4 linked regions of the Cricetulus griseus genome follow. The protein of the gene in region 4 purifies or fractionates together with the protein of the main gene of each other region. This does not show direct contact. Links are inferred from orthologs where the notes say so. Each region holds a gene or a part of one and is shown on either strand. Other genes may lie near its edges.

Region 1 (4,072 bases), on a different chromosome or scaffold from region 4:
AAATTTTTAACAATATTCCTTTATTATAAGTATTCCTAACTAGAAAAAATATTGCCTCAGACTTGTCACTATAAACTTTTATGTTCCACTTTTTTTGAGACAGGGCCTCACATACCCCAGACTGGCTGGAACTTGTGTATAGCCAAGTATGGCCTTGAACCTCTGGTCTGCCTGGCTCCACTTCCTAAATGTTGGGATTAAATCAAGGCCAGTTTATGTGGCGTGCAACCCATATTCTAAGCGGGGTTTTCTTTGGTTTTGGGGTTGGGGAGGTTGTCTGTTTGGTTTTGAGTTTTTGTTGTTTGGTTTTGTTTCTCAAGACAAGGTTTCTCTGTGTTGCCCTAGCTGTCCTGGAATTGTAGACCCAGTTGACTTCAAACTCAGAGAGATCAGCCTGCCTCTGCCTCTGGCTCTAAATGGATTTTGTTTTTTTGGTTTTTGGGGTTTTTTTTTTTGGGGGGGGGGGTTGCTGTTGTTTTTAAAATCTACTTTGAAAATACAAAAGTTGACTTTATTTTATTTACTCTAATTTACCAGTTTCACTCAAGGAAAAAGTGTATTTGAATCAAGATCTTTATTAGAGAGACACACTGGGAAACAAACAGAACAAGGCACTATGTTTTGTTGCAAGCCCAGCCATTCAATTCAATTCAGAAGCAGAATTATTTTTAACTTCTCTCAGTTTCCAGGCAAAATAAAAATATTTCAAATTTAAAACTTTTTTTTTTAAATTCTAGATGAAGTGTACTACAAAGTTAGCTTGGGGAGAGAGGGGATCCACCTCGGTTATTTTATAACAACAATGTCCAATAGTAGCAATGGATTTGCTTTCCCCAATCATCCCTGTAAAGACTCCCACTGGAATACCAATTTAAAAAGTACTGTGGATACTCCAAAAACAAAGCACAACTCGATTACAGCACCTATAGCCCCAGGAGAGCCCTCAAGGACACATGGTAATTAAAAGAAACAACTCCTTCAACTGAGTAACTTGACCTCTACAGTTGTACCTACAACAGTAATCATCATCCTTGAAACCTGGACAGTTCTTGTAATTTTCAGAGCACTGTATATGAAACACTTCACACGATGTGTTTTGTTTTTCCTCTTACAATAAAATCAGCACATACTACTTTGATGCTGGAGTTCCGTCACCCAGCCAATCAAATTACAGCAGTGCAAGAAGGAACCCTAAGTAGCACTTCAAATCTAAAGTGTGGTGACAATCTGCTTATCAAAAATGCTCCAACACGATCCTAAAAACTCTCTTTTGTATAGTCTGACACTCCTTAGGGTCGGTTGGAGACTTTCTTTCCAAGTTCCAGAACCTAGCAAAAAGGAATTCCTTCCAGGATGGGACCAAGGAAACAACCGGCTTTAAAACCCACCATTCCTAGGCCAGAAGCGGGTTCCATCCGTCCTGCTCTGGCCCAAAGAAGACATTCTCGATGCATTATTATTAATATAACAATCAAATAATGCTCCCCAAGAGATTCCTATAAATTCCCTCAACTCCTAAGAACCGGTGGTTCAGGCCTGGGTCTGTCACTCCGTTTTCTGTTCTTGATGGTCTAGGTTTTCGATAAACACAACCAAAGCACGCAGCCATTTGACAAGAGGATGGGAAATGGAGGATATAATACTCAATATTTCTTCCTGAAGAAAAAAAAGGGGGGTAGCACATGTCCTTAATCACAGTACCTGAGAGGCAGAGGCAGGCGGATCTCTGAGTTCCAGGCCAGCCAGGAGAGCAGAGACCCTGTCTTAAAAAAAAAAAAGGGGGGGGGGGTAGGCGGTACCCAAGATAGCCAAGAGGAAGAAAAGGTAGGCACCAAAGAACACTAACATTTAATCTCTCCAGGGTCCACCTTCAGAGTGCTAAACTCAGAATGTTAGCATGTGGAATCGGGAGCAGGTGAGCAATCAGGGATGCAGACTGGGTTGGCAGCATCCAGAGTCAGACCCCAGGGGCCCGCCAGGACCCTCAGCGCGCTGCCGCCACACGGGCGGCGCCCCCGCGAGCTTTCAAACCGCCGCCCCGGGAAGGCGCTGCGCCGATTGGGAAGTTCTTCCACGACCGTCACCAGCACAGGGCCATAGCGGTAACTCTTCAGCCAAGCCCTCCCAGACCTCTCCGAGTCCCCGGGGACCAGACCTCCAAACTCCACCTCCAGGCGCGGTCTCCACCAGGTCGTCGCCCGCTGTAAGCACGCAGCGGCGACTCGCGGCGGGACCGACGCCCCCCGACGGGGCTGCGCCGAGCGACTTGGAGGGGCGCGACCGGCCAGCGGGGGGCGGCAGCACGAGTGCCTCCGGCTCGCCCCCGGGACGCCGCTCCGCGACCCACGCCACCTCGCCCCGTGGGCTCCGACCCACCCAGCCCTGCGGGTCTCCCAGCGGCGGGGACCGGACGAGCCCACTCCCCCGCCCGCGCTCTTACCCATCTTTCCGCCTCGCCTTGTAGACGTGCCCATAGGTGCCGCGTCCCACTTTGCACCCTTCGTACTCAAACAGATCCTCCACCCGCTCCCGCTCCGCCGCCAGCTTCGCCTTGAAATCATAATCCATTGTCTGCTTCCCCCATAGAGAAACCGGGACGCGGGGGCCGCCGCCACTCAGTCCCTCCGCCGCCGCCGCTCCACTTCTCCAACAGCCGCCGCTCGGGCGCGCGCGCGCCGCCCGCCGCTCCGCAGTCCGCCTTCAGCAAGGGACTCCTCGGCGGCCGAGGCAGCCACCTCCTCCGCCTCCTCCTCCTCCGCGGCGGCGGCGGAGGCTCCCGCAGGCACCCACAGTCCCGCCTCCCCCCTTCATTTCCTTGTTTTGGAACCTGGTGGGCCGCGCCGCGGCTTTCTCGAACTCATTAACAAGCCAAGCGGCCCGCCCCGAGGTGGCGGGGGATCCTGGGAAATGTGGTTTAACAGGCCTCGGGAACCGTGCTAGTTCCTCGGAGGTAAGGAATACAGTTCCCAGGGTTCCTTGGGCCATTTCGGCCACGCCTCCACAAGGCAAAAACGCCTGCGCACAGTCTCCGCCCCACCCCCTCAGGTAGCCCGCGACTCGCTGTTCCCGTAAACTATAGCGCGAAGTTGCAGCGAGCTTTCTGCAAGCCCGTGGGAGCTTGTGGGAGGGAAGCCTTTGCTCTGCTGGAAAGGAGATAACCGGCTCTGGCTGTCCCTGGGCGAAGGGAGCTGGAAGCACCTCACGAGCGCCTAGTGCCGGAGCTCATTCCGGGGCATCCGGAGCCGAGGACCGGGGTTTCGACAGTTGTACTACACATTGTTTGTTTTCTTGGGCAATTGATCCTCCCGTTGCCCCGCCCCTGGCCGCGGCTTATTGGCAGAGGCTGAAGAATGACGTCCTCGTGGGTGCATGGGTATCTCCGGCTTTGGCTTCTTTCCCGCTCTTGATTGGTAATTGGATGTGCTCGGTTCTTCCTGATAGGTTAGTCTTTTTTCTTTACGATGCAAAAACCGTATTTCAAAACCTGAACATTCAGCGGTTTCCCAGCTCTTGCTAGGGGAACCGTGTAACTTCTCGGGCCCACAGCCAATTATCTTTTTCTTGGCGCTCCAGTCGGGTTTTATCCTAGCATATGCGGGGTGCGGTAGCCGAGCTTTAACCATCTGTCTGAGAACAATTAAAGTGCCTGGAAGATTGGAAAATGCAGCGTTTTAAAAACAATCATTTTTGCTGGGTTGTAAAGCGTTTTTACAGTATATGCATAATAGTGAGACTCACCTAGGGGTTTTAAGAAATTTATCTTAATCATGACTTTGATTCGTTTTGATGTCTGGGGCTCAGGACACGTCGGCTCAAAATATGTAAGAGCCTAGAAAGTGCCACGCTAAAAATGTGTCCCTCTGCGTGTTGATTATTTTTAAACTAAAAGAAATGGAGATCCATCCAACACACGAGTTTCAGCTCCCTTCCACTACCCAAAATAAAATATAAGGGAACATTTTTTGTAAAGAGAATGTTAAATTTGTAAGAGAAATTTTATAGGGTATCTTTATCAGTAAGGCAGCTTAGCTATTCGTAGACAACATTATTGTTGGGGAGGCTATCTTTATTC
Region 2 (4,098 bases), about 38 Mb from region 4:
GCAACAGATCTCATTATAGATAGCTGTGAGCCCCAGATCTCATTACAGATGGTTGTAAGCCACCATGTGGTTGCTGGAAATTGAACTCAGGACCTCTGGAATAGCAGCCAGTGCTATTAACCTCTGAGCCATCTTCTCCAGCCCCTGCTATTAAGATTTTTTTTTAAGCCAAATGGCAATTCCATATCAGTGAAACATCAAAGGGCATGCCAATGTTCATAAACATGGCTGAAATTGTAATCTTTTTTTGGGGGGGGGGTGTTCGAGACAGGGTTTCTCTGTAGCTTTGGAGGCTGTCCTGGAACTAGCTCATGTAGACCAGGTTGGTCTCGAACTCACAGAGATCTGCCTGCCTCTGTCTCCCAGAGAGCTGGGATTAAAGGTGTGCGAAACCACCACCACCACCGCCCAACTGGAATTGTAATCTTGTCTTAATTTATTTTTAGTATTTAATGGTTTAGCAGAAGTTACAAGTTCAGGGGTTTGCACCTACTGTCCTATAGCTATACAGTCAGCACTGAATAACCTGGTCAATGCCAGATCATATATACAGTAATAGTCTAATGGTTATAATGTAACCAAAACCTTCCTTTGCCTAGTGACACAGTAGCTGTGGTAACACTGCATCAGAATGCATCACTTACACTATTGTGAAAAAAAACCCACAATAATTTTGCCAGATATATGAAAGTATAGCATATACAATTACAGGTAGTGCCTAATGCTTGATAAGGATATAAATAGTGATGTCACTAGTTTATGCATTTACTATAATGAACTTTTTACTATGATTTTAAAGCACACTCCTTCCTACTAAGAGATTCACAGTTGCTAGGTGTAATGGTACACGCCTGTAGCCCCAGTACTCAGGAAGCTGCGATAAGAGGATCAAAAGGTCAAAGGCAGTGTGGGCTTTGTAGCAAAAACCCTGTTCTCAAACAAACAAATATATAATTAAAACCCCCCTTTTAACAGAATGTCTTAATATACCAGCAGCAACTTTCATACGTCCCATGCTGCCAAGACTCTTTTTTGTTTATTATGTATGTGTGGTATGCCTTATATGTGCGTTGGGGTTGCTATTTGTGTCTGTGAATGCCTGCTGAGTGTGCAGGCAGTCGTGCTAAGGTAGGTTGTCTTTTTCTGTTGCTCTTCACCTTATTGCTTTGAGACAAGGTCACATGATGAATGGAAGTTCGGTTTCAGCCAGGCTGGCTGGCCAGAGCTCTCAAGATCTGTTTGTCTCTACCCTGAAATGCTGGGCTACAAGTATGAGCAGCCATGAGTGGCTTTTTATGTGGATGCTGGGGATTCAGGCTCAGATTGTCTTGCTTTCACAGCAAGCAAGTAGTCTCACCCACCAAGCCATCCAACACTCTCTTGCTGTTACCAAGAATCCTGACAGCACCAAGAGGCCCCATGGAGTAACTGTCCTGCACCACCTAAGTTTATCAAAGCACACTTGAGATGAGAATGTTTGCAGGACAAGTCACCTCTTGGAAGTGACACAACTGTATATGGAAATAACAACAACAACAAAAAAATGTAAGCCAGATTGGAGACTGGAGACTCTGGGTCAGAAAGGTAACACCCACATCCTTGGATATTCTGTTGAAAGTTAATACTGGGTGGGACATAATCATTTGGAGCAACTTCCGTGTCTTTGTTTCAAATGTTTTCTAGCATCACTCCACCCCTCTCCAGTTGTAAAAATCATAGACTATTATGTTTGTTTTTCTCTGCTCTGCTTCTTACTGTGATGGTAAACTGATGGTTCCTTTCCAGTGTTCATCCACAGTACTTAACAGTGCCACACAAGTAAAGATACTGCCTAGTATTGAAACGGGAACTGTGTTCAAGGTGAGAATCTCACATCTAAAATCCACAAATATTCGAAAACTCTTAAGGGGACCACATAATGCTACAAATGGAAAATCCCACACTAGGCTTCATATGAACAGTCAATTGTATAAAATTGCCTTTAGGTAGCCGGGAGGGGTGGCATACACCTTTAATTCCAGCACTCGGGAGGCAGAAGTAGGCGATCTCTGAATTCTAGGCTTGCTTCTACAAAGCAAGTTCCAGGACAGCTAGGGCTGTTACACAGGGAAGAAACACTGTCTGGAAGAAAAATAAAACAATTGCCTTTAGCCAGGTGGTGGTGGCTCATGCCTTTAATCCCAGCACTCGGGAGGCAGAGGCAAGTGGATCTCTGTGAGTTCAAGGCCAGCCTGGTCTGAGTGAGTTCCAGGACAGCCTGCAAAGCTACAGAGAAACCTTGTCTCGAAAAACAAAACAAAACAAAAGTTGCCATCAGACTATATGTGTAAGGACTTGAGACCCATCCCAAAGACGCTGAGGGGTCTGGGATGCGAACAAGAGGAGTGCACCGTAGAACCTGTGAATTTGCTCAGTATGTGAGCTTCACCTGGATGCACAGTGTAACTCTCAAGGCCTGGGAGGTGGCTGAACTCAAAAGGCGACTGTGCGGCTCCTCTGGGAAAATGGGGCGTGGCTCAGAGCGCGCTGGCTTCCGCTGCTCGGACCGAACCAGCAACACCAGAGGCCGGGAAAGTTGGTGTCTTGACCTCTCCTAGGCCCTTACCATTTGATGACATTGTGAACCAACGGCAAAAAGGAGTAATTCTCCTCCTTCCCGCCTGCGGGGGACTGAGGGCGCGGAGCCGGCGGCGGCGGGAGCGCGGCGACCGGTAGAGGCTGAGGCGGCGGCAGCGGCTTGGACTCCGGCAGCAGCTCGGGCGGTGGCTGCAGTGTATCTTCGGCCTGTCTCCCACCGGTCACCCCGGAGGAAGCCATGGTACCAGGCGTGCGGTACTGCCGAGAGTCGCTGGATGCTTACGTCACAGATGTGCGCCCGGGAGGCCGGGTGGGGAAAGGGTCTGAGCCTGCGCGCTGGGCGTAGGCGGGCAAGTGTTGCTAGGCGACTGGTATCCAGACGGCTAAATTAAGCAGTCAGGAGTAGGGGACCTATTTCAGTCATCTTTTTCTAGTTCGCATGACAGAGAAGGGTCAAAACACCAACAAGGACCCCCCCCCCGCCAGTCCCCGCCCTGGGACTGGCAGGAAGAACGGATGACGCCGGTGAGCGCCGTGTGAAAATGGGGCTCTGAGGCAGCGAGCATCCTGATGACAAGGACCTACGCTTCTTTGTGTCTTGCCAGCCTCCAGGAGGGCCCCTGACTGGCGACAGCAAAACACACCATACAAACACATTGTCTGCCGAGGTTCCACATGGCTGCCGAGGGAAAAATTAACCGTTCTTCAAGCATTTAGTCTGCATCTAGCAGGTGCCATATACTTATGTGTATAAGCAAAAGCGGGGGACTTCTGATAGATATTATGTTTTCCCAAGGAAAATATGACATGGAAGCTGTATTATAAATTTCTAGACAAGAAATTAGGAAAGCTGTCAACTGGGAGAGGCCATCTGTCCTTATTCAACCCCCATGCCAGTAAAGAGAGGCAAAGAGCTCAAAAAGGAACAGGAAGGGGCTGGAGAGACGTCTCAGTGCTTAAGAGTGCTCAGTGCTCTTCCAGAAGACTCTGGTTTGGTTCCCATCACTCACAAGGCAGCTCACACATGTCTGTAACTCCAGTTCCAGGGGCTCTGATACCCTCAGGCATACATTCAGGCAAACACCAGTGAACATAAAGTAAAAAATAAGTCATGAAAAAAGGAACAGGAATGTGAAGTTCACAGTGGCAAATCCCAAGTGGAGCAGGGATGTTGCTGACTTCAGCTGCCTTGGGAAGGGCATTTGGAGCCAGATCTTCAGAAATGGAATATTGGAGGTGTTTTGAGGTTTTTAGTTATGGGTCTCAGGATTGTTTTCTTCTGAGCTGCAGAGAGTGTCCCAAACAGAAGAAGTGGAGAAAGTGTTGGGAAAAGAATGATTGCAGTGTTGCATAAAGGAACACAGACAAAGTGAAATTTGACAAAGTGATTTCCTTTTGAAAAGTGAGTGTACCAGAACCCAAACCAAGAGAGCAAAAATACTCATTAAAATGCCCACTGCCTTTACCTCTTACTTAGATGGTGACTGCATTCCATCCCATTGGTGGGAACACAACTTCACA
Region 3 (3,142 bases), on a different chromosome or scaffold from region 4:
ACACAGCACTTACGTGGATGCTGGAGTCTGAATGCTCATGTGGGAGTGCTTTGCTTGCTGCACTGCCTCCCAGCTGCAGTAGATACTTTGTGATATACCACAGAGGTCTCAAGTTACTGGATTGCTGACCTTGGACTTTCTATTCCAAGTCTGTTCAGAAGTTGGATCCCTTTCTACTCTCCATCTCTGTAGTCTTCCATACCTGTAATATTCTATGCTGATATATTTTGACAGGTAGACCAATCTACTATAGACCACACTTTGCAACAGATCCTTTAGAAGCCCCAGAACAGCAGGTCAGTACGAGACACTTGTAATACCTGATAGTCGGAGGTCATGATGAGTCCACCTGAGGTAGTGGTAGGAGGGACAACTCTCACTTTTTTCAAGGGGGGCCCCTGTGCGTGGCCGCTGTCCTGGTTCCCCGGATGGCCAGTTCCGTTAGTGTGGTTATTGCCCTGCTGCTGCTGCTGGTTCTTCTCAATTGGTTAAACAGAAAATAGTTCAACTCAGAAGGAGAACCAAAGGTAGCCACATCCCAAAGGTCACAGAAGTGGCCACATCCCAAAGGTCACAGAGGTGGCCACAAGGAAGGCACTGCCGACTGTAATTTAATACTTACTTTGTCTCCTTTGTCATCAGGTTCTTCTTCTGTTAAAAATTCTCGTTTGGGGTAAGGGATCTGACAACCGGCAAAAACACTATTCACAAGAGGAAAGAAAAGAGCTCTATCACATGATGCCTGTTATTTCCCAGGTTTCACTTAGGTGACTCACTGTCACGTTTTAAGAAGACAGGACTTGGTCTCCATAGCTAGAGATAAAAGCATCTTTCATGCAAATCTGATACAAAAAATCCTTTAACCAATGATACTGCAGCAGGTGGTTGGAAGGTTCTTCACTGTGTAATCATAATCAATAATCACCAAACAGGACAGCTCTCATTGGTACAAAGTATTTACCACTGCTCAGTGTTTGTCTGCCCTTCTCCAGTTAAAACAAAGAAAGTAAAGAGAACATGAGGGGGCTGGAGAGATGGCTCAGTGGTTAAGAGCACTGCCTGCTCTTCCAAAGATCCTGAGTTCAATCCCCAGCAACCACATGGTAGCTCACAACCATCTGTAGTGAGATCTGGTGCCCTCTTCTGGCATGCAGACATACCTGCAGTGTTCTGCACACATGCTAAATAAATAAATGAATAAATGAATAAATCGATCTTTAAAAAAAAAAAAAGAGAGAGAACATGAGTTTATTTAGGAACACCAGAGCCCAAGTGCAATCCCTCAGAGGCATGGCAACTTAGTGTGCCAACTAAGAGGAAGAGCACTTAAAGATGCCAGCATTCAGGAAGTCAGCAAATCCACCACTTACTCTGATGTGGGAAGTGGGTCTTCTAGGAAGTAGGGGTCCTGCATGGCCTGCTCTGAGGTAATTCGCTTTATTGGGTCCATAGTGAGCAACTTCTGAAGCTGAAATCACAAGTCACAGAATTATCAGTGCATGCTCCCACAAAAACATTAGTGCACTATCCCTAAGCTTATATGTCAGTACCCATGAGGGGTGGCATGCTTCTAAAAGCTAACACTACAACATGAATGGTTTTTATTCTCTCAAATTATCAGTAACAAGATACAATTATTAATGCAACAGCACACACAATCATCTCCTGGTGACTACACTTAACACCTTCTGACCCTCCTCCCCAGTGCTTTGTCCCTTCATTATCCACACAATTTAGAATGACCAAACTTGCATTTCCTGTTGCTTTTCTTTTAACAGGAGAAAGTGTTGTAATATAAACAACGCACAAGCCACAGCAGTTAGATTTGTGTCCAAATTCAGCAAAACTGCATTATAATTAAAAAAAATAATTCTCACAGCTATACCAGGTAATCAAGTACTCAAGAGGTGCATGGAGCTAGAGGCTACCCTACTCAACTGTTTAGTCCAAACCCTGACTCAAAATTTACTGGTTGAGAGTACCTGGCAGGTCAGTTCCCCTCTTTGTAACCATATCTGTCTAGATAGAGAATAAAAATAGTACAAACTATCATAGCTTGTTTTAGTATTAAAGAAATATATGGTTCAGCATTTGTGATAGTTCTTAATAAAGAGAGCACACTGTAAGTGTGAGTAATGTAGTACACTGAGCTCATCCTTGCTACATCCAGAGATACCACACTAGTATGGAAACGCAGCACTTCTGGGTTAAATACCTTCTGGCAATGTTTGTTCCTAATGTGATATAACAAGTTCCGATCTTCTGCAAACTTCAGTGTGCCACACAAGTGTTGCAAGGATTTTTTTTTAAACTGAGAGCTGAGCCTGAGCCCTGTTCCCAGAGTCTGACAGAGAGCTGAGCCCTGTTCCCACAGCCTGACAGAGAGCTGAGCTCTGTTCCCAAAGCCTGACAGAGAGCTGAGCCCTGTTCCTAAAGCCTAATTGTCGCCATACACAAAACTCAAGTCCAAATGGATCATGGATCAAAGACCTCAACATAAATTCATACACACTGAACCTCACAGAAGAGAAAATGGGAACTAGCCTTGAATGCACTAACACAGGAGACCACTTCCTAAATATAACACAAACAGCACAAACACTGAGAGCAACAATTAATAAATGGGATCTCCTGAAACTGAGAAGCTTCTGTAAAGCAAAGGACACAGTAAACAAAACAAAACGGCAGCCTACAGAATGGGAAAATATCTTCACCAACCCTACATGTGACAGAGGGCTGAATCCAATTTAAAAATGGGGTACAGCAGGCGGATCTCTGTGAGTTCAAGACCAGCCTGGTCTACAAGAGCTAGTTCCAGGACAGCCTCCAAAGCCACAGGGAAACGCTGTCTCAAAAAAACCAAAATGGGGGGGGGGGGAGATACAGATTTAAACAGAGAATTTTCAACAAAACAATCTCAAATGGCGAAAAGACTCTTAAGGAACTGCTCAACATCCCTTAGCCATCAGGGAAATGCAAATCAAAACCTCTCTGATACTCCATCTTATACTGATCAGAATGTCTAAGATCAAAAACACCAATGACAGCTTATGCTGGAGAAGATGTGGAGAAAGGGGAATACTCCTCCACTGCTGGTGGAGTTCAAACTTGTACAGCCACTGTGGAAATCAGTACAGCAATT
Region 4 (3,749 bases):
CTCTATCTCCTTGCTATCATCCTTGGGAGCACTTCCCTGCTTGGCTCCGCTCCTGAGCTGAAGATGTCTGCAAGGGTGGGATGTGGCCATGAAGAGCACTTGCAGTTGAAAGTCAGCTGCAGGCTCCCTGTGGGTCAGAGCTGCCCAACCAGGCCAACCTAGGCACCGTCCTCCACAGCCCTCCATACCACTGGCTTCTCAAAGCCCCCTTGACAATTTCCCTTCCCACAGCCTCACAGATCCATGTCCCTGGACCTGTAGAGTGTGGAGAACAGAGTCCTCATCCTCATCCCTCCAACAATCTTCTGGAACACACAGTGAACTCTGGGCCAGAGGGTGGAGTGTGACTAAAGAGCAAGCCATCCTGCCCTGCACAGCACAGTACAGGGCTTTCACAGACCTTTCCACTTTCAGTGGGGGCCTGTGAAAAACGAGCCTGGCCTTCCACACCTCCTCCCCCACCACAGGACTGTGCCCTTCCCTGGCCACAGCACAAGAGACTTGCAGGGAAAAGATACTGTCCCCAGTCATCCAGCAAAGCTACCAACAGCATTCAATAGCTACAAGGATCTTTATTTACAAACAAAGCAAGAGGGACTCCCCCTCCTGAGTTATAAAAATAAACTTATATATACACTGTGGCCCTATAAAGTCCCTCCTTGGAGTTCAGCTACTGCAAGAATTGGGGCAACCATCGGGACCACTCGCAGTCTTTGGGTACTGGTGGAAAGGACAGAAAACCACAGAAGGAACAGGCATAGTAAGTAGAGGGCAGGAGTGGGTGAGGGCCTCAGACTGGAGAAGCATCCTTGCACCACTGGATGGGGCAGCCTGGGCTCATCCTCACTCCCCCTGCTGGGATGCTGGGGCTGGGACCCCGTCCAGGCTACTCCAAGCTCCTCAGAGTGCAGCGATGGCTTTGGCAGCCACTTGCCGACCGAGGGGCAGGGTGAGGTCTGTGATGGCCAGCACTACCTTGGGGCTGGACATGGCAGACACCTTTACTAGTTCCGACACAGTGGCAAAGGGCATGAACTGCAGAATGCTGCCCCTGCTGTCCTGCTCCAGGCAGTCGACACACTCCTCCATGAACCACTGCACAAACTGGGTGTGGGGGCCGGCGGTGCGGGAGCCCAGGATGGAGGAAATGAGCAGGAACAGGTTGGCTGTGCAGAAGGGAACAAGACAGCAGAGCTCTAGAACAAGTCAGACGAGAAAGAAGGGGACCGAGGAGGGAAAGGAAGAGGCAGTGAGAGCTCACATAGGAAGGCCAGGGAGGGAAGGTGGGGCGGGGGATGGGGGATGGAGTAAAGGGAGGCTGTTAGCGGTGGTAAGGGAACAGGACAGCACATGGAAGCGGAACAGGATGTCAGGGCCCAGAGGATCCCTCTGGCAGGCGTGGCCCTGCCTCTGACGAGGAGGGGCCCGTGTAGCTCAGTCTGCAGGTAGGCACGGCTGGGAGGACTCACCCAGGACTCTGTTCAGAGGGTCCCTCATGTTGACTGTGTGGAGTTGGGAAGCCGAGAGGGAGCTGTTCATGGAACGGTCAGCTGTGGAGTGGCAGAGAGGGTGCTGCGTAAGCTCTGACTCTAGGGGAGCCTTACCTGTCCCCTGCCATCAGGGGAGTCTGGCACGTACGGGGCACAGAAGAGCCTGAATCTGGAGAGTAGATGAGTGGGAACAAGCCTCTGCGCACCAACCGAGGCTAACCCTGGCACTCTGTGTGGCTGAAGCCACCTGTCCCACTCAAAGCCCATTTTACAGACGTACAATCTGTTTGCTTAGAGCCTGGCTAAGGTCAGAGGTGGTCTGCCAGCAGCTTTCTTTCACACAAGGCTGTGGCTGTGGCCTGGTCCCTTATAAGGCTACAGAGAAAACTTCTAGGCTCAGAAGAGATCTCTGGAAACAGGAAACTTGGATGCCACACAAAAAAACTTTTGGCAGAAGGAAAGGATGACATGGGCTGCCCTCTGGATAGGAAGGCAGGAGTGCAGCCCCAGGTCGCAACCTGACAGGGCCTGTTCTCAGCCACAGGGCATGTCTCTGGGTTAGAAGGATGGCAGAGTGAGTGAGTGAATGGTACAAGCTGTACCAAGGTAGTGAACTCACTGGGTGTCTTGTCATCTTTCAACTGGTGACAAGAGAGGGATAACTGTGGGACTGGGAGGGCCCCTGGAGGAGAACTTCAGGTCCCCACCAGCAGGCAGCAGAGCATCCACTAGGGACAGACGTGGAAGCTGCTGCCACACCACACTGGCTGACAGCCATCAGCTGGGAGCCAAGGCAGGTCCTTAGGGACAAATGGTCCTAGCAAGCCCGTGACCTCCCAAGTGCTCACTGGGACTCGACAGAATGTTGGCATCATCCTCATTGGTGCTCAGGAGTCGCATCAGCTTCGAAGGCTGCATGTCTTCCACGGGGAAGAGGCTGATATAGTCCTGGGGGCAGGAGTCACTGTCACACACCCAACCTCCCAAGTCTCCAAGGACTGGAGAGGGCTGGAGGTGAGATCTGAGTGGAGAGGAGTGAGTTTCCTAGTCCCTGGCCAGCATCCCCAGTGGTGGCCCTTCCCACACTCCAATCTCTGCCCTAGTGGGCAGAAAGGACCCTCATCAAGGATACTCAGGGGCCACTCAAGCCACTCCCCCAGACCCTGACCAATCAAAAAGGCCCACACACAGGGGACCTCAACCCCACCCCCACCCTGGGAAGGCAGCTCTCTGCTCTAAGTGATCAGGAAGCATCTCATGAATAAACACACAACCAAGGCGGTGGCAGACCTACCTCAATGTCTTCCCTGTGTCTCTTCTTGTGGCGGGAAGCTGCCTGTCCCTTTTGAGAGGAATAAGAACTCAGGGCGCACCACACAGCTAGTCTGGTGAAGGGTTCCAAGAAAAAAGAATAGTTAAGAGAGTCCCAAAAGAGGCTATGTGTGCTCATGCTGAACAAGCCCCTCCCACCCACCACCACTCAGCGGGCCCCCCAACCACAGCCTGGCTTCCTGAGCTGGCACCAGGGCTGGGGTGCCTGAATCTGGGTGGTAGATTCTTGGGACTCAAGGGGAGCAGACACCAGGAAGGCTCTGGAGAGAATCCTACTTGGCTAGTGCAGTGCCAGGAGGGTCCATGAGGCTGTGCCACTTGGAGGAGTCAGTAAGCAGACCGGGCAGGATGTGGCCCAGCAAGACCAGGGTCACCTGCGGCAAGTCCAGGCAGAAGATGGAGTAGAGTAGCTGTACTGCCCTCAGTGTGTGTTCCTTGCGAGTCTCCTTCAGCAGCTCCTGGGCAGTGGGCAAGCAGCGGCTAAGGCACTGCACACCTGGGCCCTAGGGCTCTCATGCTCCAGCCACTCTACAGTCAAAGGTGCTATCCAACTCCAACCGAAGGTGCTTCTCTGAGGTGAGGTCCCTACCTCTGTCTCCCCCGGAGACCACCCAGCTTCCAGCAACCTCCCAAAGAAGCCTGGCCTACCCCAACTGAGGACACCCATGGCCCCAATCTACATAGCTGTCCACATCCACCCTGGCCCCAGTACCTTAATCAGGTTGTTGCAGAACCAGTAGACGCCGCCCATGCGCAGCAGGGTGTCTAGGATATGGATGGAGCGGCTGTCCACCCAGCCCCTCTCCAGCACCTTGGCAAAGATGTCTGTCAGTACCTCCTTGATGGGGCGCTTGGGAGGAAGCAGGTTCCAGTAGGGCATTGTGTCCACGCCCGTGGATGGAAACTTGATCTGTGTTGCTGTCTGCT

Evidence for each region.
Region 1: the proteins of Med24 (region 4) and Cdk19 purify together in Homo sapiens (affinity purification with mass spectrometry; 6 studies listed by BioGRID and IntAct, counting the BioPlex papers as one, with this or other methods). This does not show direct contact. The link is inferred for Cricetulus griseus from reciprocal best matches to the Homo sapiens genes MED24 and CDK19.
Region 2: the proteins of Med24 (region 4) and Med9 purify together in Homo sapiens (affinity purification with mass spectrometry; 5 studies listed by BioGRID and IntAct, with this or other methods). This does not show direct contact. The link is inferred for Cricetulus griseus from reciprocal best matches to the Homo sapiens genes MED24 and MED9.
Region 3: the proteins of Med24 (region 4) and Cdk8 purify together in Homo sapiens (affinity purification with mass spectrometry; 13 studies listed by BioGRID and IntAct, counting the BioPlex papers as one, with this or other methods). This does not show direct contact. The link is inferred for Cricetulus griseus from reciprocal best matches to the Homo sapiens genes MED24 and CDK8.

Annotation. Positions count from the first base shown.
Region 1 is NC_048595.1:262,901,096-262,905,167, reverse strand, and holds the start of Cdk19 (cyclin-dependent kinase 19), read right to left. Parts: upstream 2,822-4,072; 5' UTR 2,569-2,821; coding exon 2,441-2,568; intron 1-2,440.
Region 2 is NC_048600.1:74,064,851-74,068,948, reverse strand, and holds the start of Med9 (mediator of RNA polymerase II transcription subunit 9), read right to left. Parts: upstream 2,854-4,098; 5' UTR 2,818-2,853; coding exon 2,606-2,817; intron 1-2,605.
Region 3 is NC_048597.1:82,215,043-82,218,184, reverse strand, and holds part of Cdk8 (cyclin-dependent kinase 8), read right to left. Parts: intron 1,469-3,142; coding exon 1,371-1,468; intron 702-1,370; coding exon 623-701; intron 480-622; coding exon 321-479; intron 1-320.
Region 4 is NC_048600.1:111,788,126-111,791,874, forward strand, and holds the end of Med24 (mediator of RNA polymerase II transcription subunit 24), read right to left. Parts: coding exon 3,535-3,749; intron 3,281-3,534; coding exon 3,099-3,280; intron 2,876-3,098; coding exon 2,785-2,875; intron 2,439-2,784; coding exon 2,339-2,438; intron 1,551-2,338; coding exon 1,470-1,550; intron 1,167-1,469; coding exon 901-1,166; 3' UTR 553-900; downstream 1-552. UniProt on the Homo sapiens protein: Component of the Mediator complex, a coactivator involved in the regulated transcription of nearly all RNA polymerase II-dependent genes.